2 linked regions of the Xenopus tropicalis genome follow. The protein of the gene in region 2 binds, or shares a complex with, the protein of the main gene of each other region. Links are inferred from orthologs where the notes say so. Each region holds a gene or a part of one and is shown on either strand. Other genes may lie near its edges.

The links. The genes of interacting proteins can lie anywhere in the genome.
Region 1: the proteins of gna13 (region 2) and gpr4 are in contact, whole or in part, in a cryo-EM structure (PDB 9JHP), measured with the Homo sapiens proteins. The link is inferred for Xenopus tropicalis from reciprocal best matches to the Homo sapiens genes GNA13 and GPR4. Residues at the interface, in NP_006563.2 of Homo sapiens: Arg47, Pro341, Tyr343, Phe359, Lys363, Asp364, Ile366, Leu367, His368, Asn370, Leu371, Lys372, Gln373, Leu374, Met375, Leu376, Gln377; in NP_005273.1 of Homo sapiens: Gln45, Asn50, Arg115, Ala118, Val119, Ala120, Pro122, Leu123, Ala126, Ile204, Val208, Ser211, Val212, Ser213, Thr214, Glu218, Lys221, Ile222, Leu225, Asn290, Glu291, Gly292, Ala293.

What each region holds. Positions count from the first base shown.
Region 1 is NC_030684.2:70,519,120-70,524,483, forward strand, and holds the start of gpr4 (G-protein coupled receptor 4), read left to right. Parts: upstream 1-2,427; 5' UTR 2,428-2,697; intron 2,698-2,764; exon of another isoform or gene 2,765-3,272; intron 3,273-4,105; 5' UTR 4,106-4,340; coding exon 4,341-5,364. UniProt on the Homo sapiens protein: Proton-sensing G-protein coupled receptor activated by extracellular pH, which is required to monitor pH changes and generate adaptive reactions. Activated by an optimal pH of 6.8-7.2.
Region 2 is NC_030686.2:50,664,279-50,669,642, reverse strand, and holds the start of gna13 (guanine nucleotide-binding protein subunit alpha-13), read left to right. Parts: upstream 1-2,096; 5' UTR 2,097-2,381; coding exon 2,382-2,664; intron 2,665-5,364. Other genes in the region: regulator of G-protein signaling 9, read right to left, coding at 1,827-1,839. UniProt on the Homo sapiens protein: Guanine nucleotide-binding proteins (G proteins) are involved as modulators or transducers in various transmembrane signaling systems.

The sequences.
Region 1 (5,364 bases), on a different chromosome or scaffold from region 2:
TATTTATTATGTTGTTTTTCTCCTTTATAATTGTCTTCAGTGTCCCCTCATTTCACCTTTTCACCCATACTCTGCCTAACCATAATTCCCTTGTGATTTTACCCTTTCTCTTTAGCTCATGCCACTTTCATTGTACAAAGTCCTATAGGCTTTAACATCTTTCCTGGTTTTTAACTTCTTTTCTGATGCACCCCATTTTTTCTTCGATTATCTGCTCCATTTCAGAACCCCCCATTCCCATCTGTTTTCTATCCCAATCTTTCAACCCCAGCAGTAATGCAGTATTAAGCTGCATTTAGACTGGCAATATCGGCATACTTTGAACTCCTGCTAGCATATCCTATCTCCTCTCACCTCAATACTGTTTATTTCAATGAGTAGTCTACATGTACAGTATTTGGCAGTGTGTGGCAGTTTAAGGTTTCAGTATGGCTACAATGGCTGGTCACAAAAAAACCAAGGTATTTGGGCACCAGATCAAGCTTTCATATAGTGATTTGCTACAACTGTAACGCTACAGAATTCTCTTCCAGAAGCCGTTGTAGTGGTAGATACAATGTGTACTTCTGAGAAGGGGTACGATGGTACACGTATTCAATCTCATGAACTGGTGAACTGCAATTTTGAATCAAGAAGGTATTCTCCCTGTGAGGCAAACTAAAGATTTTTTTTGTTTGCTTTTTTCTGGATCAAGTAGAAATTAAGCAGATACAGTGTGTAAAAAGTTTGAACTTAGATAAACCTGTATTTTGTTAAGTTTAGCTACTATGTCAATATGTACATTTTCAGGCATGATTAAAGACTATAAAAAACTTTCTTTTTTATATTTAATGTTAGTACCATTTAAGGGTTGTGAGCCATTGGTATGATTAAAGTAAATCTGAGAGAAATAGGGCATCCATATAGTGAACTGCATTGAAGCACAATTGATTAAATTGTGGAATAGTTAGGTGAGTCTATGAGAAGCATTTAGAATGGACCAGTTAAGTGTAGTTTGAAAAAGGAGAAAGTTACTATAGTTAAGATGGGCAAATATTAAACAGTACATATGTATTTAGACTGTTTAATGCTGTGCACATAAAAGTAGCATTATTTGGTATGGCTTTGAATGTAAAGTGTAAAACAGGAAGCAAAGGTAAAGGCTGACTTTGCTATCTGACATCAAGCAGATAGGAGAATGGCAATATTTGACTTGTGCTTGTACAGAAAGTGTGAAATCTCATGTACAGAGGTAGAACTGGTTGTCTTTTGCATGAAGATGATATTTATTGGGATTTCTGATCAGCACACTATCCTGGTTCTTAAGATGCTGATCATAAAACGTAGAAGGTATAAATGCCTCTAAACAACTTAAAAAATTTGAAGCCTTCCAAAACTCTCTAAAACAGAACAAATTGGCATTACGAGTTATAGCAACCACCCACTGGGTGATAGCTTTGAACTGGCTTGCCCCATACTTGGCTGGAGCAAGAAAAATATTCACTCAATGCATTAGCTCTCTGCAATGTTATAAAAGTTGAGATACACAAGGAAATTTGGGAACCCTGGACTTTATTTCGAACACAAGAACTTTGGCACCCGAAGCCATGTGATATAAGAAACCATGTCCCAGCAAGATTATAAAACCTAGCCATACAAGCTCTTTCACAGATTTGCTTTATTTCACAACTCTATTTATGGATTGCCTATGTAACAGTACAGTGCTTTATATAATTAGTATATCTTTATAGCATAGATACTTACCAAAAGTGAAGAGGTTACTACGCAAGAGTAGAATACTAAGTTAAACACACAGGCCCGGATTTGTGGAGAGGCCACAAAGGCCCGGGCCTAGGGCGGCAGAAATGTAGGGGCGGCATGCCGCCCCGCCGCAACGGAATTTTTAAAGTTTTTTTCAATACGGAGCAGTGGGAACTTCTCCCCACTGCTTTGTATGGGACTTTAAATGTATGCGCATGGGCGAGCGGTTGTTTGCGCATGGGGGGGGGGCGATCAACGGGGGCGGCCTAGGGGCCCCCAGAAGACAAATCCGGCCCTGTAAACACATAAAACATTATAGTAAATATAGACATTGCCATTTTATGACACTGATGGGCTCACTGCTTAGATCTCATAGGTGGGTTCCATCACACTTTTTAATAAAAGGATATGAAACAGGGTATTTAAAATGGTAGGTTAAAGCCAAACTCATTCAAACTTTATTGAAGAGGAAAAGGCTGATAGTGGCTGACAGTGGTTCCACTGGTTTGTCATGGGCAGTAAACTTATGTTAGTGTATACCTCATTCAGAGATGGTAAATTAGATACATTACATTCTCAAAAATGCCCGGAATGGATTATTACCACACTAATGACATGAGGCTAGTTGACATCTCTTCACAGAATCAAGAACTATATACAATGAGGTTCAGCATAGGTAGTTTAATGTCTTGTACACACTTTGCTCTTCACTGATTTCTACTCAGCAGGGTTAATCTTTAGCCCAGCCCCTTGAGTCTGCTGCCTATCTACAAGACAAACCTCTGTGCCGGCTCTTCCATGCACACCATGTACTGTGCTCAGTACAGCTAGAGCTCTGCAAGCTACAGAAAGTGTGCTGCAAACTAAAGAGAGTAATTCAAGAACTTCAGGCAAGGTCAGGCATGATACAGACTACTCTGCAAATTAAGCCATTAGTTTCCTCCCACTCCAAGAAAGGTGAGTGTTTTTATATTGCAAAAATACTCACATAGTAGAGTAGAGGAGAGTAAACTAATAAAGGCACCCTCTGCTTTTTTTTTTAGCATTACTAAAATAGATATAGTATGTATTTGTTTTGTTCATATTTAGGGATGGCCAATCTGGGCTCTCCAGCTGGTAGTAAACTACAACTCCTGTCTTTTCACCAGACCTTGGCTGGTTTCTCTCTGGAATTACTACTCACTCCTCCTTCTTTACTCTGTAATAAGTCTGCACTCACTTTCTTGCTAACTATAATTCTTTATTTTGTCCTTAAAATACAGCACACACTCCTTCCAGCTCTCCTCTCCCCTCTGCTCTGTGTTCCCTGCATGCACTCTCTCTCTTTTGATTCACACTCTAATCTTGCTCGGTATGTAAATATTTATATGGCACAGGGACACTCAATTAGTCACTGACACTCTACTCTCTATCCTAGTTCTTCCTCCCCCGTACTACTCTCTTCTAGTATCTAGCCTCCTCTATCACACTCATTCTCTTTCTCCCTCTCTCCCATGACGGATGGTAATGAGGTATCGCAGAGAAAACCAGAGGTGAGCACTCTCTTAAGACACTGAGTCTAGACAGAATAACCAAGACCACAGGCTAGCTGACAGAAGCAATCTTTTGAGTATACAATCAGTATACCTAAATTGGCTTCACATACTAAGTTTTTCATCCTATGATTAATCTAAAATCCCACAACTGTCTTGCTTGTATTAATAATACAGCTACCTCCTTTACAGTATTAACCTCATACACTGCTAACAATAATTAGCACATTCTACAAGAAGGCACCTAACTGTCAAAGATAGGTTAGTGCTCCCCCGTCAAATCTGTACTACTATATAGAAAAAAGTTATATTACTAATTCATATTTCATATGTCATATGTCATACTCTTACACTCAATTCCCTCAAACTTGAACCTTTTCACATTACAACACAGGAATCTGTTAGTCCACTGCATCCATATGATATTTTATTTTGCTATTGCACAGTTACAGTTGTGGTTATTTATAGTAAGCACAACACAACATAAAAGCTGCAACTTTCATAACATGTTGTGCACAAAAACAGGCTTGTTTAATTACATTCTCAATATTTAGTTCAAATCCATTAACCAGTGTTCATACACTGACACTCCATTCAACTTGTTCCTCTTTACTAAATCACTTTTGCAAGTAGTTGGTGCCGCTCCTATCACTACTCCTGCTATAATACACCTGGTGTAATACACACACCCAGATGGCAAAGTTACCTGTCGCTTAACCACTACAACACCCACTACAAAGTATTATTTCACCAGTTTCCGTTACAGCCCTAAATAATTATATTGTTATACACAAGACCAAACTACTTATAGATGTATTTTGTTTTTACTCCAGACTATTCACTGTGTTTAGTGTTATCAGAAGGAGAAGTCATGTGCCAAAATGTGCATTTCAACTAAGCAGCTATACTACTCCGCACCCCCCAGAGGCAGGGAAGTAAGGAGTGAACAAGAGAAAGCAAACGAAAAAGACAGTGAAGACAGAACAGAAAACAGTAAAGGAAATAACAGAAGAAGAAATACTGAACGCTCTCTCTTGGACATTTTTCTCCTCTTTCACCTTACTTGCCATGTCTAACTTCACCCCAGATGCCTGCAATGTAGACTCTGGTCTGGACAGTGTTCTTCCTCCATCACTCTATGCTTTGGTTTTCACGTTGGGCTTGCCAGCAAACCTACTAGCCCTTTGGGCAGCTTGGCTTCAGGTGCGAAAAGGAAGAGAACTTGGTGTCTACTTACTCAACCTTTCTCTCTCTGACCTTCTACTTATTTGCGCTCTTCCTCCCTGGACGGACTACTACCTTCGAAGAGATGTGTGGGGATATGGCCCTGGTGCCTGTCGCTTATTCGGCTTTGTTTTCTACACTAACTTGTATGTTGGTGCAGCTTTTCTCTCTTGTGTTTCTGCTGACCGTTACCTGGCAGTGGCACATCCTTTGAGGTTCCCAGGTGCAAGACCCATTCGCTCTGCTGCTGCTGTCTCGGCACTGATATGGATGCTTGAGTTGGCAGCCAACGCTCCACCACTATTGGGTGAAGCTATCCACCGAGACCGCTACAACCACACATTTTGCTATGAGAGCTACCCTCTTTCTGGAAGAGGGGCTGCCTTAGCCAATGTAGGGAGGGTTTTGGCTGGATTTTTGCTGCCCTGGGGGGTCATGATGCTGTGCTACGCTGGTCTCCTACGAGCATTAAGGGGTAGCGCATCCTGTGAGCAAAGGGAACGAAGAAGGGTGCGGCGACTAGCTTTAGGGCTTCCATGTGTAGCACTACTTTGCTATGGGCCCTACCATGCTTTGCTGCTTTTACGCAGCTTGGTGTTTCTGGTGGGTGGGGGTTCAGTCGATGCAGGTGGAGGGTGTGCACTCGAGGAGAGACTGTTCCCAGCATACCATGCATCATTGGCACTGGCCACATTGAACTGTCTGGCAGATCCTGCCCTTTATTGCTTGGCATGTCCTGGTGCTCGAGGTGAAGTGGCAAAAGTTGTAGGAGGGGTAGTGGCATGGGCAATGGGAAAGGAAAGGAGAGCTTGGGGAGAACGAGGTGGTAATGGTAGGGGATGTGGGGAAGGAGAGGAGGTGGGGATGG
Region 2 (5,364 bases):
TCTCCTATTCATATAGCTGTCTCTCATTCAAACCACTCCCTGGTTGCTAAGGTTGTGTGGACCCTAGCAACCAGATAGCTGTTATAACGCCAAACTGCAGAGCTGCTGAACCGAAAATGAAATAACTAAAAAACTACACATAATAAAAAATGAAGACCAGTAGCAATTTGTCTCAGAATATCCCTCTCTGCATCATAGTAAAGGTTAACGTGGAAGTGAAAGTGAACAACCCCTTTAAGACTAGAATTTCCTGGTGTGACGCTCTACAGCCAACGTAACTCCCACATCAAAGACCAGCGCCCATTCTATGTTTATTTACTTTGTGTTTCCCCCAGCAACCAAATGGTTAACCACCCTAACCCCAACTGTATTCTCATATCCGTGTTCCCTAAGCAGGCACAGACTGTAGGACGGGGCTCGGGGCCCCTTGCTCTAATTAGCAGCACTAATGACACGCTGACTTCCCTTGTATAAGCAGGTTTTACTTCCTACTGTAATTATATATATATATATGGCCTATAAAGCAGGCTCTATGTACTGTGTATTTCCCTGTATACTTGAGCAAATAGTTGTTAGCCCGTGTGTGATTGGCTGGAGAGTAATAGAAGAACCCCCACCCTATTGTGTAACAGCGAGGCGACCATGTTTCAGGGCTTTTCAGAACAACTTAAAAAGGGCGATATTACTTGGCATCTCCAGCATGACAAGGGCTTAAATATGTGCCTTATTTCTAGTAGCCAATCAGAATGCACCATATAGCCAGGTATAGGATAGTAATGGTGGCTGCAGTCCCCATGATTAAACAGAAGGTTGGCTATATATTCCTTTAAAGGGGTGGTTCACCTTTAAGTATGTTATAGAATTGCTAATTCTAAGCAACTTTTCAACTGGTCTTCATTTTTTGTTTTTGAATTATTTGCCTTTTTCCTCTGCCTCTTTGCAGCTTTCAAATGGGGGTCACTGACCCCGGCAGCCAAACCCTATTGCTCTGTGAGGCTCCAGTTTTATTGTTATTGTTACTTTATATCACTTATTCTTCTTTTCAGCCCCTCTCCTATTAATATACCTGTCTCTCATTCGAACCACTCCCTGGTTGCTAAGGTGATTTGAGTCTTAGAAACCAAATAGCTGCTGAAACTGCAAGCTGCCGAACAAAAAACCTGAAATAATTAAAAATCTACAAGTAATAAAAAATGAAGACCAATTGCAAATTGTCTCAGAATGTTACTCTCTACGTCATACTAAAAGTAACTCAAAGGTGGGCAACTCCTTTACGGTACCAACCCCCTTAGCAATAATGAGTGCAAATGGTTAACATGAAATTCCCTTGCATGGACATAACCAGTTATTATTAGGGCTGCGCCGAATCCCGGATTTGGTTTGAGATTCAGTAGAATCCGTCGGGGTGGGTTTGGGGGTTCGGCCGAACCCAAAAAAGTGGGTTTGCTGCATCCCTAGTCATTATTAATAACATGTATTTATAAAGCGCCAACATATTCCATAGCGCAGTACAATAATGGGTTATATAATTACTTAGATTGTAAGCGCTACGGGGCAGGGACCTCCTTCCTACTGTGTCTCATACCACATGGCACTTTATATATATATATATATATACATCTATATACAGAATGAGGGGCATTTGACACTACACAAGCCCCTCAGCAAGATGGAGCAAGTCTAGAGAGCAAACTTCCTGGCAGCCAATAGAATTGCAGAAGGAGAATCACATGATGAGGTGCGATAGCCGCCAGACTGCAAGTAGAAGGGCAAAATGACCAAACTGAATATTATATATAAATAATAATAAAATATAGAGGTATTACTTTGGCCTCTCATCTCTTCAGTAAGCTGAGGCTTTTATAGGGGAGAGTAATTTCTCAGGCAGCCTACAGAAGGGGTATCCTGCCACAGAATGAGGGGCAATTGACACCACAGAACAGAAGCCCCTCAGCAAGATGGAGCAAGTCTAGAGAGCGAAGTGTCTGGCAGCCAATAGAATTGCAGAAGGAGGATCACATGACGAGGTGCGCTAGCCAGTAGAAGGGCAAAGGAAGCATCACGTGAGGAAGAGTTGCAAGATGGCGGATGGTGTTGCCGGGTTCGGGCCGCGCCCCCAGTTCCCGCGTTGCTCGGTGTAGACGAGACGTTTCCCAGCGCGGCGGAACCCTAGAGAAACGATAGCCGCTTTCTCTGCCTCACACACCGGCGCCTTAGCGAACGGAAGGAACCGCGCGTTCCCGCCTTCCACTCAGAGCGAAAGGAGTCGGGGGCGCGCACGTACCCACCCAGCGCCGCTCCCGCGCACGCACCGCCAGGACCGCTCCCCCGTCCCAGGGCCGCCGATGAGGCAGGAGTGAGCCAGGGCGAGTGTGTGTAAGATGGCGGACTTCCTGCCGTCCCGCTCCGTGCTGTCCGTGTGCTTCCCCAACTGTGTGCTCACCAGCCGGGAGGCCGAGCAGCAGCGCAAGTCCAAGGAGATCGATCGCTGCCTCTCCCGGGAGAAAACCTACGTCAAGCGCCTGGTGAAGATCCTGCTGCTGGGGGCCGGGGAGAGCGGCAAGTCCACCTTCCTCAAGCAGATGCGCATCATCCACGGGCAGGACTTCGACCTGCGGGCCAAGGAGGAGTTCCGGGCAACCATCTACAGCAACGTCATCAAAGGTACCCGGCCCGGGGCAATTGTGTCACTAGTTACCCACTGGGGGTAACTAAACCTGCCCCAGCAGGATACCCCCCCCCCCTCATGTGTAGGAATGGGTTAATTACCCCGGGGAAGGGATTAGGGGGGTATGTAGGGCAATTATAGCAAACCTACCCACAGGGGGGGCACTTAAACTGGGGGTAACTAAACCTGCCCCAGCAGGATACCCCCCCATGTGTAGGAATGGGTTAATTACCCCGGGGAAGGGATTAGGGGGGTATGTAGGGCAATTATAGCAAGCCTACCCACAGGGGGGGCACTTAAACTGGGGGTAACTAAACCTGCCCCAGCAGGATACCCCCCCCCCCATGTGTAGGAATGGATTAATTACCCCGGGGATGTGATTAGGGGGGTATGTAGGGCAACTATAGCAAACCTACGCACAGGGGGGGCACTTAAACTGGGGGTAACTAAACCTGCCCCAGCAGGATACCCCCCCCATGTGCAGGAATGGGTTAATTACCCCAGGGAAGTGATTAGGGGGGTATGTAGGGCAATTATAGCAAACCTACCCACATGGGGGGCACTTGAACTGGGGGTAACTAAACCTGCCCCAGCAGGATACCCCCCCATGTGCAGGAATGTGTTAATTACCCTGGGGACGTGACTAGCCCTACATACCCCCATGTAGGGCAACTATAGCAAACCTACCCATGGGGGTGGCACTTAAACTGGGGGTAACTAAACCTGCCCCAGCAGAGTGCCCCCCTATGTGCAGGAATGAGTTAATTACCCTGGGGAAGTGATTAGGGGGGGTATGTAGGGCAACTATAGCAAACCTACACAGGGGTGGCACTTAAACTGGGGGTACCTAATTGCTCCCCCCCCCCCCCCGCATGCAGAATGTGTTAATTTCTCCGGGAAAGTGAATAGGGGGGTATGTAGGGCAGCAATAGCAAACCTGCCCCATCAGATTGCCCCCGTATGTGAGGTGGGTATGTGCAGGAATGTGTTAATTACCCCGGGGAAGTGATTTTAGGGGTATATAGGGCAACTATAGCAAACACCCACAGGGGTGGCACTTAAACTGGGGGTAACTAAATCTGCCCCATCAGAGTACCCCCCCCCATGTGCAGGAATGTGTTAATTACCCCGGGGAAGTGATTAGGGGGGTATGAGGGGCAACGATAGCAAACCTACCCACATGGGTGGCACTTAAACTGGGTTTACTTAAACCTGCCCCATCAGTGTACCCCCTATGTGCAGGAGTGTGTTAATTACCCTGGGGAAGTGATTAGGGGGGTATGTAGGGCAACAATAGCAAACCTACACACAAGGGTGGCACTTAAACTGGGGGTACCCAAACCTGCCCCATCAGTGTACCCCCTATGTGCAGGAGTGTGTTAATTACCCTGGGGAAGTGATTAGGGGGGTATGTAGGGCAACTAAAACAAACCTATATGTATGGGCTAGGGGTATCTACAGAAATGTCTTCCAATATACCCCAGGGCATTTATCCAAAAATCTACCCCTTTGTTGGACAGTTAGATTGGCGGAGTATCTGCAGCAGCATTATATTTTGTTCCTGGGGGGCGGTTGTGCTAAGGGGCATCAGTAGCCCCGTTACCCCAGGGGTTTGAGTGGCGAGCGCTATATAAAGGTACCCCAGTTCCAGTAGTGGGGGTAATAGTTTGTACATCGTCAAATTTTACCCTTTCAGAGGGGCACGGTTATATTGGGGAAGTGCTTACCCACAGCAGCACTATTGGTGCCACCCCGGGGGTCACAACATCCTTACTAATACCCCAGGGGGCAGGGTGGGACGTGGCACTGAAGGCGTTGACATCACGTGTGAAGTTATCTGGGACTGGGTGACAGTTGCTGTATGTTTACAAGGTACCGGGGGGGGGGGTCCATATTATGGGGCCCCAGTGTTCTCTAGTTACCCCTAGTGGGGCATACATGTGCTTGTTGGTAATGACATCCAAGTGACACCAAAGGGGGCAATTATAATGGGACCTTTGGGTAACCTGTGCAAGGATTAATTAGATCCATGGGGGGAGGGATGTAGATACCCCTGGGGTTTGGGCAGATTTTGCGGAATTTGGGGAGGGGGCAATTGTGTCAAAATGATCAACTTGGCTACCACTGCAAAGTTACCCCCAAAGCTGGGCAGCCCAGAGGGGTGTCATCAGTGGTTCATCTTCCCCTTTAGTAAGTACAGCGTACAGTAATGGCCCCTCAGTGACACTAACCCTTGGATAGGGTAACCGGGGGGGGGGGGGGCATAATGGGGGGCGGGGTTTTGCAGCAGTGACATTAAGTGTTATCCATCATGGCTTCTACTCTGGCTTCATTCAGCTTCCCCAAAGGTCACCAAGGTAACGGGTACACTTATAGGCATGGGGGCATTTATAGGGTGGGGGTATATGGGCAATGTAGCATTGCTATCATAGGGAACCCCAGGAAGGAGCCGTGTAATATGCCCTCCCTGCAGGGGGAGCGGGGTGTCTGTGACATTAGTGGGGTGCATTGGGCCCTGGGTAGTGCCGGGCAGAGCATCTGTGGCTGCCCACTCAGGCAGCCAAATGTCCCATGATTCCTTCCCACCAACTGAAATGCAATTTGCCGGCGGGGAAACAAACGAGTCGCCCAATGGCAATGCTGGGAATTTTTGGGAAAGCCGGAGTGCCGTGTATGTGTCCCTACTGGGGACTTGG